Drosophila melanogaster: one gene and its partners. The protein of the gene in region 2 purifies or fractionates together with the protein of the main gene of each other region. This does not show direct contact. Each region holds a gene or a part of one and is shown on either strand. Other genes may lie near its edges.

Region 1 (6,884 bases), on a different chromosome or scaffold from region 2:
ATATATAGTATGACTTATGCTATTATCGACAGAATTCCAACAGTTGTCAAACAACCGCGTCCATTACTCAAATTTTATTAAACATCCAACATCAACAACGGACAACTAATAAACAAAGCGGCTAAAATTCGTAAAAAGCCAATTGCACTTTAGTAACGCTTGTTTAAAAATAGTTTGACTTATTCTGACGTATATTCGCAGATGCTGCCTAAATGGAACTGTTCAGATGCGGAAGTGCCTTATAATCATGGCATACCTTTAAAGTTTAAACCAATAGTTTTGTACAGCAAGCCATCTGCTCTACGGAAAATGCTAATATACCCGTTTTCATGGGGGCACGCTCTTCGACTGCCGGCTCTTAATCAAAAGATGTATTTACTATTGAATCGACTTTGGACACAAAAGCGAGCTATGACTGGTTATAGAGCTTCTGTAAAGTGACTATTACGAAATAATTCATTTTATGTTTGTCATAACTCCGATTAGTAAAGTACCGTGACCCGCTCAGAAGTGAAACTCAAATTTATTAAGCTCATGCAGGGACTGTAAATGTTTTATTCGGCGACTTACTTAATACGTAGACTTTAAAAGCTGGTAATGAATTCCAGCTGCCAGGCAGCGACTAGCAAGTCGTAACCACTAGGTACGCAATGTCTCTCATTGAACTTACTTGCTTGCCAATTGATGTAATAGCACCAAAAGTGGGGTCACGCTTGAAAAACTATAGTCCAGCGCTAAGGCCAAATCGTAGCTTTGATGTTTATGACCGGATTGGACAACAAGTGGAACCATTCAGGGCTCCTAAGAAAAGGTTACGCCAAACTTGCAACAAGGGCACAGAAAGTCGCTTTCAGAATTTATTTATATCTGTTTTAATATAGCAGCCGAAAACGTTAGCAGGCACTTACTTCATTAATTGTGTTTACTTTAAGTGGCATAGTTAGCCAAAATCAGCGCAATTTCCATCTGTTGCCTCACTTCCATCTTATATTGTATACATTATTTTGGCACATAACTTAGCACACCCCAGAAGGCGGCGTGCCATCTGCAAATCTTTCGGCTAGGTGGGGCACGCTCACAGGGCAGTGTAAATAAATCTGTGTATATTCGCTTATTCTGAACGACTTAATTGAGTCGGATGGCCGACCTTTGAGGTGTGCAAAGTTCAGGCTGCTGCCTTCTCCAATTAGTTTTGCACTTGGCTGGCCTTGGGCTTAAAAACAGGCTTTGACAGTCCCTCAATCTTAGACGGGATTCACGGACTATGTCCGCCGTGAGGCCAGCCATCCAATGCGACAACGAGGGGAGTGGGTTTCATGAATGAGCTTTTATAAATATAAGAATAAAGCAGTTGTGCACGTTCGCATACCAAACTAATGGAATATTATCGCTCGGCCATCATTACTTATTCTGAACGGCCCCACCGGGGCACTGCATATTACCACAAATGTGTTTTCACCACCACACCCGACTAAAGCTAGCTATTGGCAGTGACTAAATCCTAATCGCTCTGCTAACACAGAAAGCACATACCGCCGCCATCAGTCTTGACTTCCTCAACTATAACATACCCGCTACTCAATTTCATAATCCTTTTTTTTTTGGCGGATCAGGGGCAGTCTACGAGGAAAGGGTATAAAAACAATACCTCTCCCTCTGGCACGTCATCACAAATTGTTTTCCATAAAAGCAGTAGATCCAAAAAAAAACCCCATTGTGCTCCACCCATGCTTTAAAGTAGATACACTGCTACGTGAGAAAAGTGCGAGTACATGGCTCCTCGCCTTTTAGATGCTATGGCATCGAACCAAGTTGTTGACTGTCCCAATAGCGAAATAGCTTGTGTGGGCAGTTACTCCGCGGCTACTGGCTGATGATTTTGATGTATTTAGCAGTGCTTATCGCGGTGAAACCTAGTGAACTTTGGCCAGAGCCGCCCTTGTGAAACTGGGAAATGAATTTGACGAAGAGACGACGGGTTACATATCTACTCAGCCACAACCCGAAGTTCTCCGTTGCTCACAGTCTGAGTGTTGATACTGCGTTACAGCTGCTAAAAGAACAAAGAAACCAGAAACCAACACAATGCGAAGCGCAGCTAAAGCAAACAAGTAAAACCCGCTAAAGCCAGGGAAGTGCGTAATAGCGACAGAGTACTCCGGAGAACTAGCTCAATAACACATGTGCGGAGTACTACTAGCCAGGACCGGAAACAAAAGCTCTAGGGTGAGGTGAGAGCAGGCGCGGGAGGTTCAAGATCCCGCTCTCGTGCTGCCGAGGAGTGCAGCTTGATATAGAGAGAGGTACTAGACAGTGGAAGTACTTACTGCTCCGGTTCCCCTCCTTGACGCGGTACGTCAGGTTGTGAAAGGCCAGGTCCACCGCTGGTCGCTTGGGGAGGTGCTGGAGCGTCTTTGGCTGGGCGGGTACTATTTGAGCTTTCAACTGACCCGCTCCGGCTGTGCCCAGTCTGTTGTCGTTCAACAGATTTGCATTATCGTTCTTAGTCATCTTGTCAATCAATCAACCAGGGGTTAAAAAGCAAAATGCAACCACTGTGTTGTGTGTGTATTCTTTGTAAACTTTAGCACTGACAGCAATACTGCAGCCCCTGCTGCCCTTCGTTCCCGTTTGGTTTTTCGTTCGCGTTCTCGATTCGATTCCACCACCGTCTGGTCCGGTGAGAGAAATTTTCCACCCGTCTGCTCGAAACGGTACTGCCGCTTCTCAAATATTAGGACTTCACTCGCTCGCGCCGCGATCGCAACTGAAATAAGCAATTGCGGCAGTGGAACAAAGGCAGAAATTTAGGCAACCGCTGACAGAGAGTGCCATCGCATACTCTCACAGCCCCAATGCTTTACGTCTGTGGTTAGAGTGGGACGACAATAGAAGCACTACTTCTGGTGGGGATTCTAGTGCGATTGAGAGGCACTGCGGGTTGGCTCTCTCTCAAAAGCCAGCGCATTCTTCTACTAAGTCTTGAATGAATTTGGGAAAAGCCTATAATCTGTGAATATTCCTCGATCGGCGGACCCATGTATCTCGAAATAAAATACCACTAACTAATTTCGAGGAAAGTCTTTACCTTGAGGAAGGTCTTTGATTCCCAGTCTTGTACTTTGATTGGTTTATCAGCCTTTTATAGTAGTTAGTCCTGGAAGCTAAGGTTCTGGCCATTGGTTTATTCAATCTAAGTTAAAAGTTCACGGCCTCGCTCATGACTCATGAGTTATTGGAGGGGCTTATCTATGGGTGTCAATCTACAGCTGATAGGAGTTTTCAATGAGCCGATAAGGGGTTGTACTTTGTCATTTCGTGTTTTACGTAAAAATAAGTTAATCGGTGCCGTAATTCGTTTAAAGGAGCTCTAGTACGCTTTTTAATGGTTTGCTTACGCGACATTTTACCTACATTTTGCTTTTCCCTACATTTAATGTGGCATGAGGTCATTTGTGGCTATGGCGTGGGACGACCTTACAACTTTGCCCCAGAAACAGTTTTGTGGTATATCTGAACGCAACAGTTAGATGTAGACATTGCTGTAAGGCTCCTTGTTGGCATGCTTTTACGATGCTCCGGTCTATATTTTGCCCAATCTAATTGGGATTTACGGATTGCACTGGGAGTGCTAATAACGTTTAGTTAAACCGGTTATTGTATATATTGGGGCAAGTAAAAACGTAATGAATTGACCAACAAAAGGTATTTTCCCAGTACAAACCGCAATTTGAGATATTATTCCTAGTTCGGTTTCTGGGTTCAAATCAGCATACAGCACTAAAGTTATGCAGTCGCCTTAAGATATGAAAGAATAATGTATTTCCACTGGCAATTTCCCGATGACTATTGGCTTGGAAATTTTTTAAAGCTTGTGGCTAATCAAGTCACGGAGATGTCAACAATTGGCAGGAATTGCAAACCGGTTGTTCTACACTTGTTGATTTCGTTTTATAAACGGGGGGTGTGGTATATTAGATGTGCCAACTAAATGTGATGCATTTTGCTTGAGACCCGCCTGATTCGGCTACTTACAGATTATTATTTTCCAAAAACTGCTTCCAACTATACTGGTTCATGGTGCCGTAACTCAACAGCTACTGAAACCATCGCTTTGAAGCAACAAGTTGCCTTCGCGAAAGCTAAGTCGCAGGCAATAACGAATAGGCAGTCGAAACCCAAACCGAATATAAGAATTAGCGATTTTGTATTTGGTTGTTGCACATCGGGTGTAAAAATATGTACACTCTGCTGGAGGGAAACTTTCGTAGTTTCTTGCGAAAACTGAAGCCGGCCAACTAGTGGAAACGATGCCACGTAACTGGAAAAGCGTAGACGGCTATATGGGAATTACTCGGGTCTATGGTGAAAAGTGGCACTCACACATTGGCACATAAAAGTTTCCTCTGTTTTCCTTGTTTTCTTTGTTATGCCCACCTGAAGCTCTCCCAATATGAGCCGTCCAAAAAAGCTTGCTTTCCCGCCAGAAACAGAGTTTTAGCTTTATTTTAACATTAATCCTATCTGAAATATACTCATCCGTTCTTCAGTACTTTCCTCTAAGTTACGAGGCAACCAACAAATAATTGGAAGACATATCTGTGGTCTCGGCTTTTGTGCGACAACATGCCATTATGTAGGAGGGAGTGGGCCAATATGCGTGGCTTGATGAACGACGGCCTAGGACTAAGTATAATCTGTAACAAATAAATATTGAATATCCTCCACACAGGATATTTAGATCAGAATTTACATAGCATTTAAATTTCAACGTTTTACATACTCAGCCTAAAAGTTGGCTACACTGTGTACTTATACTGCTATTTTAGTTATAGTTTTAGTTAGATATATTTTTAATATTCAGAACGTCGTATGCGAGACCCAAGCCAGGAATAGGAACATTTAGTACCGAATTTACATATTATAAACAAATCATTATTGCTTCATTTAAGGCTCTATTAATGCGGTCCACCACAGAGTTTATCAAATGCCAAACACGAATAGACACAGCTGATACGGTGCTCCTTGCATTCGCTATATTTAATTGTATATAGTGAACTTTGTACCAGGCGTGTATTCAAAACAATCAGCCAAAGAGCAAAATGGTGGAGGTTTTTACGAAGAGATTACGAGAAATGAGAGAGTGTTGTAATAAGTAGTACTGCTGAAATGCATCTGCATACTGCGTAACCTATCATAGTTTCTGAAATGAATTTATCAAAAATGTAGAACTTAATTTGTGGGTTCTAAAGTGGGCCATGCACATAAATGGTGCAGGTGTTCTACGATGAGAATTACTAAAAACTTTTGTTTTTCATTTGGCGCTAATGCAAGCTACAAGTGCTCGAAATGCATAAATGAGCTTATAGCGTGTGCTCAGTAACGGGGCTTTTGGCTACCCGACTAGCCTCGAAACATAAACATTATGGGTCGCATTGCAGGTCTCTCTGGCTAGTGGCTGCGGAGCGGGTGCTCATATACCGCCAGTTTTGAATGCTCTCTGGGAGGCCTTTGTCTGTGCGTCGGCGTCGCAAACGAGATAAAGAAAAACCCGAGGCGCGCGACGAAACAACGAAAAAAGTGAATGCTGTCGCGCTAACTGTGCTCACAAGACTTCCAAACATCGAATTGGTCGGGTGTCCCCAACAGTCGCTCCGCAGCCCCTGACAGAAACAGAAACGAAAACCGAAAGTACCGCAATCCAAAATTACCAAAAGACCTGTCCAACCAGCGACTGTTTAACCAATCATATAACTGTAAAGTGGAAAAACGAGCAGAGCACGGTAAGTTGTGCGGAAGACTGCGTCTTCACTGGAAAAGTACCCCTTTTTTAACTACCTCGGAAAATCAAGTGCAAGGAAAATAATTACATAAAAATTCATGAGAAAAGCAGAGTGAGCCAGCATGCCACCAGCCCTTGCCCTTCCTGCGCACGTCCTCACATTCGCCAGCAATACATAACTAACCGTGTCCTTTTGTCCTTCTCGCCGACTCCAATCCAAGAACCAAGATGGCACTACGCGTGGCAGGACTCTTCCTGAAGAAGGAGCTGGTGGCTCCCGCAACACAGCAGCTGCGTCTGCTGCGTACTGGCAATACCACCCGCTCCCAGTTCTTGGCCAACTCCCCCAACACGGCTCTAGACAAGAGCATTCTGCAGAGGTACCGCAACCTGGAAACGCCGGCCAATCGAGTGCAGGCTACTTACTTATGGATCGACGGTACCGGCGAGAACATTCGCCTCAAGGATCGCGTTTTGGACAAAGTACCCAGCTCCGTGGAGGACTTGCCGGATTGGCAGTACGACGGCAGTTCCACCTACCAGGCCCATGGCGAGAACTCGGACACCACGCTCAAGCCACGCGCCATATATCGCGATCCCTTTAAGCCGGGAAAGAACGACGTAATTGTCCTGTGCGACACCTACAGCGCCGACGGCAAGCCGACGGCGTCCAACAAGCGTGCCGCGTTCCAGGCAGCCATTGACCTAATTAGCGATCAGGAGCCCTGGTTCGGCATTGAGCAAGAATACACTTTATTAGACGTGGACGGACGTCCCTTCGGCTGGCCGGAGAACGGTTTCCCAGCCCCACAAGGTCCTTACTACTGCGGCGTGGGAGCTGACCGTGTGTACGCTCGCGATCTTGTGGAGGCCCACGTCGTGGCCTGCCTGTATGCTGGGATCGACTTCGCCGGCACCAATGCCGAGGTAATGCCCGCGCAGTGGGAGTTCCAAATTGGTCCAGCCGGGATTAAGGCATGTGACGATTTATGGGTGTCGCGATATATTTTGCAGCGCATAGCTGAGGAGTATGGCGTAGTGGTCACCTTTGACCCCAAACCGATGGAGGGTCAGTGGAACGGAGCCGGCGCGCATACCAACT
Region 2 (5,860 bases):
TGCACCAGATGTGCGACTCAACAACATGCTGTCCATGCAACCGCCTGATTTGCCACCTCGTCAGCAGCAGGCTACCGCCACGACCACCAGTTGCTCTGTGTGGTCGAAACCAGTGGAGGCGCTGTTCAGCAGAAAATCGGAGCCCAAGCCTGAAACTGCCACAGCTTCGACTACGAGCAGCAGTTCCTCTGGAGCAGTGGGACTTATGAGGAGATTAACTCACATGAAAACACGCTCCAAATCTCCGGGAGCGTCCTTGCAGCAAGTTCCGAAAGAAGCTATTAGCACAAATGTGGAATTTACAACAAACCCATCAGCTAAATTGCATCCAGTACATGTAAGGTTAGATCCGCAATAATAAGTTATCTTTATAGACCAGAATAAAAGTTTAATTGTTTTGTCTCTTCAGATCCGGCTCGTGCCCCAGTCAGCTGCAGCACAGTCAACCGCTCAATGAAACTCCAGCAGCCAAGACAGCGGCACAACAACAGCAGTTCCTACCCAAGCAGCTGCCTTCCGCTTCTACGAACAGCGTTTCGTACGGATCGCAACGCGTGAAAGGAAGCAAGGAACGTCCTCACTTGATTTGGTTCGTTAGGCTTAATTTGAATGCTTTAACTTTTAACTGACTCTTGGATTTTGATTCAGCGCGAGACAATCATTAGATGCAGCTACATTTCGCAGTATGTACAACAATGCCGCGTCGCCGCCGCCACCTACTACTTCCGTGGCCCCAGCTGTCTACGCCGGCGGTCAGCAACAGGTGATTCCTGGAGGTGGAGCGCAATCCCAGTTGCATGCCAATATGATTATTGCACCCAGCCATCGGAAGTCGCACAGCCTAGATGCGAGTCATGTGCTGAGTCCCAGCAGCAATATGATCACGGAGGCGGCCATTAAGGCCAGCGCCACCACTAAGTCTCCTTACTGCACGAGGGAAAGGTGGGTTTTGCAATACATTATTGTGAGCTTAGAGATTTACTAATGCAACCTTTTATCGTAGTCGATTCCGCTGCATTGTGCCGTATCCACCAAACAGTGACATTGAACTAGAGCTACATTTGGGCGACATTATCTACGTCCAGCGGAAGCAGAAGAACGGCTGGTATAAGGGCACCCATGCCCGTACCCACAAAACCGGGCTGTTCCCCGCCTCCTTTGTTGAACCGGATTGTTAGGAAAGTTATGGTTCAAACTAGAATTTATTAAGCGAAATTCCAAATTACTTGTCTAAAAGGATTCAATCGTCGGTCTATTCGGGCTTCCAAATACGCAATCTCATATTTCTCTTTTCAAAAAAGAAACCGTTTTGTACTCTTCCAATCGAATGGGCAGCTCGCCGTTGTACTTTTTTATACAATGCTTGATCAAAATAGGCTAGCCATGTAAGACTTAGGGAACAGTTACTTAAGCCTTAGCGATTAGTTAGCTAGAGAAATAATCTAACCGATCCTTGTGCCCTCTACAAAGTTATTTGTAATATACGATACTCAGTAATACCCTTTGGTCGTTTTAACTTATTTTATTCACCAAGCAAAACATCGAGGCTAACTGTGGATTCAACTACGGCAGGCAAGGTTACTCGCTTTTTTCGAACTTGGATCCGTAGATGGGCACGTACTGTAGGACCAGCTTCCAGTCGGTGTAGTAAAGCACGGCCAGGCCAGCAGCTCCTCCGAATCCGGCTCCAGATCGGATGCTACGAATTAAAAGAAACTAGTTTAGTTCTCTGGATGGGGTTATGCAATGTGTGCTTTGGTAGCAGTAAAAGAGCGGGAACACTAATGAATTCATGATGCAGAATCAAGCACGACAGCATATACTTACAAGGAACTCGCTATCTCAGCGTGCTTCTTGCCAAAAGGTATGCGGAAAGCCATTTTTGTTGATTTAATAACTTTTCACACGCACCAAAATGTTCGCAATGAACGCAATAGTTTCAAATGTCCTAAATAATACCACTACAGTGTGACCGTAGGATAGCGTAAAACTTTAAAAGCAAGGTGTGACAACACTGTGCGGCCTACGTGAGAACAACAACTAGTCATCAACAAAAACTAATATTCGCAAAGAACTCATCAAAAATTACGAAATTAAAATGAAAATATCCGTTTTTGGGGAGCTTAACACATTCGAGCTGTTTGTCCTGTCCACTGTGATACCGGCGGTGTTCGTTTTCCTTTGGACTCTGATATCTGGCGATATGAAGGTACGGCAGATAGTGCTTATCAGAATGGTTAATTTTAAGTAATTTTCCCTTTCTGCCCTGAGTTTACAGAACTTCAAGGGCAGCAAATTGGCATACTCAGTTTATACGGCCAAGGATCCCATTAATTGCTATCAAGACTACGAACCAGAGAAGCAAAAGGATACGTAGACTATGTGCCGGGTTGGATTACCAGGGCCCACCATCTTTTATACTTTTATTGCATATATGTATGTATGCAAATTGTGTGATGAATAGAAGAGGGTTTTTGAAAAAAGACAATAAACCTTTGTGGGCTGCATTTCATATTTTGTTTTTTCTTTGTAGCTTTCGGCAATTTTCATATATTTGGAAATATTTTAAAAGTAAACAAAAACTTAATTGCAATATGAATCATATTTTGAACCACCTGGTCACACCCACCCCTTGTTGGTATTTTCGCGTTTGTAGCGAACCTTCTCACTGAAGTGAGTCCAGTCAAAGATTTTAAGGTAATTTTTGGCTTTCTAATTGTTTAAACGCTTACTTATCGACGGATATTGCGGGTTTTGATCGTGTCCTGCGCACTTCCTGGTGCCCATACGCACCAGCAATCCGATAGTCCTGAAGTCTGGCCGAAAAACCAAAACAAACAAAGAAGACAACTACGCAGAAGACGAACAAAAACAATGTCGGAAACATACGGTTTGTCAGCACACATTTAATTAATTAATGCATTTTACTAATTAATATCGGTGCTCGGCGCTCACCTAGATTACCTGTTCAAGTTCCTGATAATTGGCAGTGCTGGCAGCGGTAAGAGTTGTCTGTTGCATCACTTCATCGAGAGCAAGTGTAAGTTTGGTGGTAGCCTGAAAATGGTACACGCCTAATGCATTTTATACATTTTGATGTACCATCAAAGTCAAAGACGACAGTTCGCACACCATCGGAGTGGAGTTCGGCTCGCGGATTGTGAACGTGGGCGGCAAGTCGGTAAAGCTACAGATATGGGACACAGCCGGTCAGGAGAGATTCCGATCGGTGACAAGATCGTACTATCGCGGAGCAGCCGGAGCTCTCCTGGTCTACGATGCCACTTCGCGGGACTCTTTCAATGCTTTGACAAACTGGCTGAATGATGCTCGCACTCTGGCCAGCCCAAATATTGTGATCCTTTTGGTGGGCAATAAAAAGGACTTGGAGGAGGCGCGTGATGTGACCTTTCTGGAAGCAAGCACCTTTGCCCAAGAGAACGGTCTGTTTTTTAGGATTCTCCATAAATTTCCTATCGTAATTCTACGTCTGTTTGTCGTTGCAGAGCTTATCTTCCTGGAGACGAGCGCCAAGACGGGGGAGAATGTTGAAGAGGCCTTTCTCAAGTGCTCAAAGACCATACTGGCCAAAATTGAGACCGGAGAGCTGGATCCCGAGCGCATCGGCAGCGGTATTCAGTACGGCGGAGCTGCTCTCCGTAACTTACAGACACGACAGCGCAGCATCAATAAGCCGGATTGCACCTGTCGCGTTTAAGTCGCATAAGTTGTGCTGATTTATTTCCATTTAATCTCAAACCGGAATGCGCATTCGGATTACCCCTTAGTTGTATTGTGTACTTGTGTGTGTCCACTTTTTTAGTATGTATTTTGTCTTGCTAGATTAATCATTCCAATTGTAAGCATAATGCTAATCGATTTGTTTTTTAACATAACCAATTACCACTTTGAAAACCTATGATTTCGGGTTAACCCCAAATGTTACTTACTATAATTTGTAATTCGTGAAGCACTAGAGCCCTCGAGCAACAAATGATGTATGGCTATAAGCACATGGATCTGATCTAGAGGATGAACAGAATACACTCGGCATTTTTAATGTAAATAAGTAGCGATACGCCGTTGACGACGTCGCCGATTGTAAATCCCATTGAAGCATGCACGCGGTAAATAAAAACGCCCATTGATAAATTCAATTGTATAAAAATATTTATTTCGACCCAAGGTAACAAATATTGTATTGGGGAAGCTATTAAATTTTATTAATAACAATGAAGCTAAAACATTTTAAATGGCAATAATTGATAAAAAAATAATTAAAAACCGTTTGTATTTGAGGAAATTGGCATAGCATCTTTAGATTGTGTTTCCAAATGGGCTGTTTTTGTTTTGATTTAAAAGGTCTTAACAATTTATGGTGATCAAAAATGATTTTTTGGTTTTAGACATTTATGTCTATTAAAGCGATGGAAAAGTATTTTTTAATTCTAAGATATACAGTTAAGTTCATTAGGTGCCCTTTGCTGTCCTCTTCCAAAGGATTACGTCTTGGCTAGAAAGCAAATTCAATGCAGTTTAGCAGAAACTAGACTGGGCTGGAATCATCATATTAGGCGTCGCATTTGCTTAGCTGCTGAAGGGCGTGCTTGGCAGCCGATAGCTTGGCCTGGTCCTTATTGCTCCCAAATCCGTACACCTTGATCGTCTTTTCCATGCAGGTAAATTGACAACTAACCATTACAGTTTCCCCTTCGACGATGGGCGAGCTAAACACGGGCTTCGCATGCTTGTGCTCAACGAGCTGTCGTATATGATTGATGGGCACTTTGCGCGTGAACTCCTGAAGCTCCGGCTCGAAGAGATTGAAAATTACCTCCCAAGTACGTTGGAGATCTCGGCAGTCCAGGTATACGGCTGCAATAAGGGCCTCCAGAACATCCCCCAACGCCTTTGGCACATCCACGTTTGTGGACATGTTGAACTCACCTTTTGGTGGGACTCCTTTCTCTGCTTCCTGAGAAATGCATTTATTTGCATGCGGTAACTCAGTCATATCCAATTCGTCATCCAAGTCCAGCGGAGTCGGCTGAACATCAGCTTCCTCGAGCAGAATGCGCACATAGTTGGTAACCCGGTGACCCTGGCTCTCCTGGAAATTCACGAATTTGGATATGATCTCGGAGAGCTTTGCGTTCTCCGCTAGGATAAAAAAGTGCAACCGATGCCGCACGCAAATGCAGGCCAGCGTAGTATTGTTGACCAAAGCGGAACGCAGATCTGTGAGGGCGCCCGGATTCATTTTCGTATTGTTCTCGAAAATATAGGCAGAGATTAGAAAGTCGAGTATGGCATCGCCAATAAATTCCAGCTCCTGATAGGACCCAGTGATGCGATTAGTGGGATACGAGGGATGGGTGAGGGCCTGCAACAAATATCGTCGATCCTTAAACGTGTAGCCAAGATTTTTTTCCAAATAATAGTGATTTATGAGAAAGCCGTCAATTTCTGTAGTATTCACGTTCGCCCGCATTTTCTTGCCGCCCAGTTCGAGGTTCAGTAACTGAGTAAGCGGCTTGTCAATATCCGCACGGCAAATCTTGAAGTACTCTAGCATCTTGAAGGCATGCTGCAATCCGTAGTTCTTAACGATTACGCCCAATAGCGCCTCAAGGGTATCGGCTATCACCTTGTTGGGAATCGTGACCAGTCCCACGCAGAAGTTCACCTCGGATGAAAAATCGGCACCGGCATAAAAGGACTGCCCATTTGCTCGACATCCCTCCACGAAGCGGTTGTAGTTGATATCGCTGCAGTTGCCCTTCACCAGGGACTCCTCATCGCCGAGAGCCAAGTCACGGAGATTGTGTGGGCCAATAATCTTTGCGAATTCCGGATTTTC
Region 3 (5,667 bases), on a different chromosome or scaffold from region 2:
GTGGCTTCCAAAGGGGAACCGCACATGCCTTTTGGAATTGAAATAATAATCATCGTCATCGTTATCGTCATCGTCATCTTTTCCTGGCCCGGGGCATCTGCCCAATGCTCCACTGCTCTATGGCAACAGCCAACGAATAATGGCTTTAACTCCACCGGACCGACTTCAGACTATTTCCCAAGTCTTGATGGAGTTTTGCTGGGCTAAAAATAGTAAATTGATTAACAGCGGACTGAGTTCCTTATTCACATACAAGATCTTCTTTAAAGTTGTTCAAAAGAAGCTGCGTTTGAACCAGTGTTAGGTTATATCAATGAAAACTTTAAATGACTTTAAAATATTAGTTATAAGATTCGCAAGCGTAGCCCGTATCCAGCCCACCTGATTCCTGTCGGAATCTCCCGGCTGCCGAATCCTGGTTGTCCAACATCCTTGTCTAATTCCACAACTCTGAGGGACAGCTAAGTCAGGCCCTCTTTCGGAATGGGTTTACTTGGGTTTCCGAACAGATTTCGGATGGGGGCGACGTCCATAAACGGATTATAATGCGTGAACCCGCCCCCTTTCCGACCACCCAACGCCTACTTATGCCTGCCCATCGCCGGGCAGTTAAACCGCTGACGGAAATTCTGTTCCTTGCTTCCCGGGCTTACTTTTAACGGTGCACTATGCAAAATATTTTATATTTAAGTCGTAGCGTAAGCCACCTTGTTCGAAATACCTTTTTCTCGAATGAGTCGCACACGTTTTTCCATCAAGTAAATATATATATATATTCTCTTTCCATATTTTGTAAATATAGTCAAAAGCTAGCGATTGAGGCTAAATCGCACAGCATAACATTTCTCGAATGAAATGTATATGGGATTTCCCGAGTGTACCATCCTGCCGCCCATCCGCGCTGCTTTCTGAGCTTTGTCGAGGCAAAAGTCCATTTTGTCACGTTTTATATTGATATTTAAAAAAAAAACAACATGGAAGGAAGGTGGGAGGGCGGAAAGCCGGAAAAGGGCGAACCGCCGCGGCAACAACTAACAACTAAACAAAATGGCAAAACAAATTTCTGCGCGTTTTGCTCCGCTCAGCACGTAGGCAGGGGCGTTGCAGGGGCTCGGCAGAGAAGGGGAGGTCGATGGCTTTTCACGTGGCAGCCACGTAGCAAATGGCAGCGGCGGACGGAAATTGCAATTGAGTGCAAATTGCAAGAAGAAAAGGGTCCCGTCCCGTACCCTACGACCCACCCACATCACTTCCACTCCGCTCCTACTGCCCAATTTTCACCCACTTCCTGTCGCCCTCTTCCTTTGACCCCGCCATCGCCGCCCACCTTCTCCTTCGATTTTCGTATACTTCCTGCCGAGAGCCCACTACATTCTTAATGCCCCCACTGGCCCGCAGTGATTTCCGAGCCGCACACACTCCGCTAATGAATAAATCTGGCCATCTTGAGCCGTTGGGCCGTGGAGGCGGTTTTAATGATTAACCATCGACAAGGCTGCGTTGCATTCACCGCCCAGTTTCTGCCACTGTAGCACCCCTCCGCCCCTCGCCTCCATCCATATTCAACTTTAGCAACTTCGGTGGGTCGCATGTTTGCTTGCTCTCGGCGCCTTTAACTTTATCGTCCTTTGTCACGTTCTGGGTGCGATTTTTATCGCCCGAAAGTTGCGCGGAATAACAGGAGGCTTTAATTAATTTCCACACCGAAAATCAATCAGATTTGACCACTTCACAACCCGGTTATTTCCCTCAATATAAGCCTGGTACTCAATGGGCTTTCCTTTAACCTTTAAATTAAATGAAACAGGAGACAGTTTTTCAGTGTGCAGTGTACATAATTTAATTTAAATGAAATAAAGCAAGGACAAATTTAAAGTGTAAGGTGTAATTTGATGTTTTTGATAGGTAGATTGTGCGAATTTGGCATTGTAGTTGTATGGAGTGTATGGAAACAATTAAGAAGTTAAATACAAAAGTTATCCATAACTGCCATAATGGGCTATTATCCTCGGCGAAGCCATATATTTTACTAGATCTCGATATCATCATGAAACTACTCTTGGTTTGGCCAGTCCTCAATCTCGTAATACAACTCCCTCATGGCATCCACTTCCTGCTTCCAGCGCTCAATGATGCCTAGATGCACCTCCACGCCTATCTCCTCAAGCTTGTCAACGATCTGCAGCACACATATCTGATAATAGGCTCTGCTCGACGCATTATCAATATCATTATCGAAAAGCCTTGGAAAAAACAACGTCACACATAAGACTGCAAGAGAGATTGCATTTCTTAATATATATTAAAAGTAATACTAAAAACAATAAAAGCTTGATTGGAATAATTTGCGTGTGTTCATTTGAGGTCGCATATGGAAAACTTACCGATCCTAATTAGCAAGAAGATGTTAGTATACCAGATGATGTTACGCACTGCCTCCAGGGCAAGCATCATCAAAAAGAGCTCGAAGATTTCAGTTTGAAAGAGGATGCAATGCAGCGTGACCAAGCAGCGATTTACACAGTTGACCACGCGCACAACCATTTCCTGGGTGATGTGCACATTGAAATCGGCGCGGATCAGACGCTCGTAAAGATGGAATCGCACATACGGCCGGATGGCCTTGTAGATCATTATGTTGCTCAGGATCATCATGCCGACTACAGCCAGCTGTTGCAACAGATTGAAGCTTTGAAGGACCTCGAAGGCATTGAGGATAAGAAAGCCTAGGCTCAAAAAGATGGAGTTCCACTCGTGGCGCACGAGCAAATCAAACAGAATTCGGGGCCAGGTGAGGGCTGTAATCATCTGATAGATCTCATGGAACGTGTATTTTTGTGGGCGGGAAGCCGACTCCACCACATCCGGGATGTTACCAATGGCATTGGGTGCTTCTTGCCTTACCGCCACCTGCTGTTCATTTTCAAATGTGTCGTTTGATATAGCCATTATGGTCATTTTTCGTCTTTCTTGCTTAGAAAACGGATGCACTTCTTTTTATGGAAAAACTTGTAAAAAAATATAAATTTTGATTTTGTTGTTCAGCCAACGGAGCTCTGGCTGAGACTGAATGGTACGGCAAATCTGTCATAGAGCCTAAATGACATTGTACTGAGTACTTTCACCAGGCCTATTCAAAAAGGTTTCAATGTACTACCAATACTTTACACAACATTTTAGAATCTTAAATAGGTAAGCGGAAAAGAAAGATACACCGCTTTGATTATAAATAGTAAAATCCTATGTTCGCTATTGTGCTCGCGACTTTCGATAACTAAAACTATGATGTTTTCGTGACCAAGCTTAAATACTTGTGGGCTGGTCAATTAATTTATTCATGGCCCTGGGGAGACGAGTCCGATTTTCGACGCCCAAATATTTCTAAATATTTGCTCAGTTCGTCTGAAAGGACAAAGGACCCACGAGGACAAAGGAATGCGCTGTGTTTGGACTTGCTGCGTGTGCGTAATAAATAAATAAAATCCCATTCGAAGCCGGATTGCCAGAGGAGGAAACAATTGGCTGGTGGGGGCGTTTAAGTGCAAAATTGTAAAATGCCAGTCCCAGACTAAATGGAAATAGTAAATTGGAAATTGGAATCGCTGTTGCCGCTAATGAAATTCGATAAAATGAACCGAAATCTAACCGAAATGATGCCGACATTCAAAGGCAAAGGGGTGATGGCCAGCGATCTATTGCAAACATTTTGTGCGGAAATTGGTAAAACTCTTTGATGTCAAAATGCGGAGAGGGATTTCAGGGCGCGGCGATTGCCTTTTCCTGGCTAATCTCCAGTGTCAGCCCGAAACGTAAATCAAAACTGCAGCTTCAAGTGGCTCACTAATTAGATTAACTTGGAGCAGCGGCGAAAAACCGACGCACACACAGTGAGTCGCAAAAAGCTGTTGACTATTTCGCAATTTGTTTTTGCAGCCGGATGGTAAAATCCGTACACTTGGATGAAATGTTGTGCAGAAGCTTTAATAATAATCTGAAAGTAAGCTATGCTTGTGTGAAATCAAGTATACGACTGCTTAGATAAAAAAATCCGACTGCTTACATTTTTTGTGCCTTTTTTAAGATAAAGATTTGTAAAAGAAGACAAATATTTTATCCGCTGTGCAGCAGAGCTCAGATATTTTTGGTATATATACATATATATATATGTTTTTGACTTGGCGCCAGCGAATTATGCTCGAGTTTCTTGCCCGTGTCTCCGTTGCTGCCATCTCTTGCTTAATTATTTCCTTGGCTAGAGCAAACAATCAACATAATTCCTGACACGCCTCCCACGCCCCCCCGGCCAGTCGGGCCTCCCATTTAGCAGCTCCTTTTCATTTTCGCCATGTCTGCGACATAATGAAAAATGTGGAAAGTTGCAAGTTGGCAATACAAAAAGCAGGCGGAGGGAGGCCCCTCATTAGCTGCACTTGAAGAAGAACCTCCTAAAATCAATGGCCTTTAATCGCCTGCCAATTTTCCATTTTCCTCATAACCAGAACCTTTCCCAAAACAAGCACAAACAAAACAAGAGAGTCAAGTTGCCCGACTATCAGATACCAGTTACAAGGCTACTGGAAATGTGAAAGCGAAAATATGTAAATTTTTTTTTTTTAGGAAATCGATAGATATCGGGATAAATAGAAATTTAAACGAAAAAAAAAATGTATTAATTGTTTAAAATTGTGAGCGTGACTGTCTTGGGCGTTTTGTATATGGGAGTGGCCACAGTGTTTTTGGTATACAGATAAAAATTGGCAAGACGAACAATAAAACGAAGAAAAGTCAAAACATTTTTTAAAAGTGTGGGCGTGGCAGTTTTAGGCGGCTTGTGGGCGTTAAAGTCGGCGTGGCAACATGAGTCAACAAACTTGCGCTTCGTCTATGTCTCTAGAGTCTGCATGTATAATCTCAACCTTCTAGCTACTATAGTTCCTGAGATCTCAAAACTCATATACGGGCGGATCCTGATCACAAATATATATGCCTTATATGATCGGAAATGCTTTCTAACTGTTACATGTTACATACTTTTCAACGAATCTAGGTTACCCTCTTACTCTACGAATAACGGGTATACCAAACACAACGTGGAAGATAACAGGTGGAAAAGGGGTCGTTGTATTTGGGTTGCCAAAACGGACTTTCCCAACACTTTCCCTTGTTTTTATTTACATTTCGGTTTCAATATTACCAACAGCTGCATAAATTATCTTTACAACCTAAGCTGTTTTTCCAACTTTTCTCGCATGTGACCGCGTGTGGCTGTGGTTGTGTGCGAATTTTTCCAACTATAACTATCGATCTCACTTAAACCTCCTGGGTCCTGACTCCTCCGTCTGTCCATCTGTCCGTCTGCTGGCCCATATGCAAACCGGCAATAAAATCTAAATATTTTGCATATAAATCAAATCGATGGAAATTTTCGGGACAAAGCGAAGGTGCCATGTGTGTGTGTGTGTGTGCTGCAGACAGAGGGGCATCGGGCATGGGCGGGGCAAGGTGAGGGGCGCTGAAGGACCCCACTAGATTTGCAAATGCAGCTGAACAAGGGGGTTTCAACGGAGCGGCCATAAATTAGAAAATCTTTTAAAGGAAATCAGTTTTCAGACTTCGCAAAATAATGTATTAAATAAAGGTATTATTTTTGGCGCTAATTAAAATTTT

The links. Proteins that work in one complex are often made in the same cells at the same time.
Region 1: the proteins of Rab4 (region 2) and CG3164 purify together in Drosophila melanogaster (affinity purification with mass spectrometry, with the first as the bait; one large-scale study listed by BioGRID). This does not show direct contact.
Region 3: the proteins of Rab4 (region 2) and ccb purify together in Drosophila melanogaster (affinity purification with western blotting, with the first as the bait; one study listed by BioGRID). This does not show direct contact.

The regions. Positions count from the first base shown.
Region 1 is NT_033779.5:126,473-133,356, forward strand, and holds the start of CG3164 (uncharacterized protein), read right to left. Parts: upstream 4,320-6,884; 5' UTR 4,080-4,319; coding exon 4,036-4,079; intron 2,774-4,035; exon of another isoform or gene 2,512-2,773; coding exon of another isoform or gene 2,471-2,511; coding exon 2,328-2,470; intron 1-2,327. Other genes in the region: Gs1 (glutamine synthetase 1), read left to right, coding at 6,011-6,884.
Region 2 is NT_033778.4:17,570,825-17,576,684, forward strand, and holds Rab4 (Rab4), read left to right. Parts: upstream 1-2,637; 5' UTR 2,638-2,874; coding exon 2,875-2,890; intron 2,891-2,959; coding exon 2,960-3,040; intron 3,041-3,110; coding exon 3,111-3,443; intron 3,444-3,506; coding exon 3,507-3,718; 3' UTR 3,719-4,155; downstream 4,156-5,860. Other genes in the region: POSH (plenty of SH3s), read left to right, coding at 1-342, 410-589, 649-942, 1,004-1,178; UQCR-6.4 (Ubiquinol-cytochrome c reductase 6.4 kDa subunit), read right to left, coding at 1,579-1,699, 1,828-1,880; CG42239 (uncharacterized protein), read left to right, coding at 2,099-2,209, 2,279-2,377; Dcr-2 (Dicer-2), read right to left, coding at 4,571-5,860.
Region 3 is NC_004354.4:21,190,674-21,196,340, reverse strand, and holds ccb (central complex broad), read right to left. Parts: upstream 3,089-5,667; 5' UTR 2,959-3,088; coding exon 2,385-2,958; intron 2,272-2,384; coding exon 2,054-2,271; 3' UTR 1,820-2,053; downstream 1-1,819.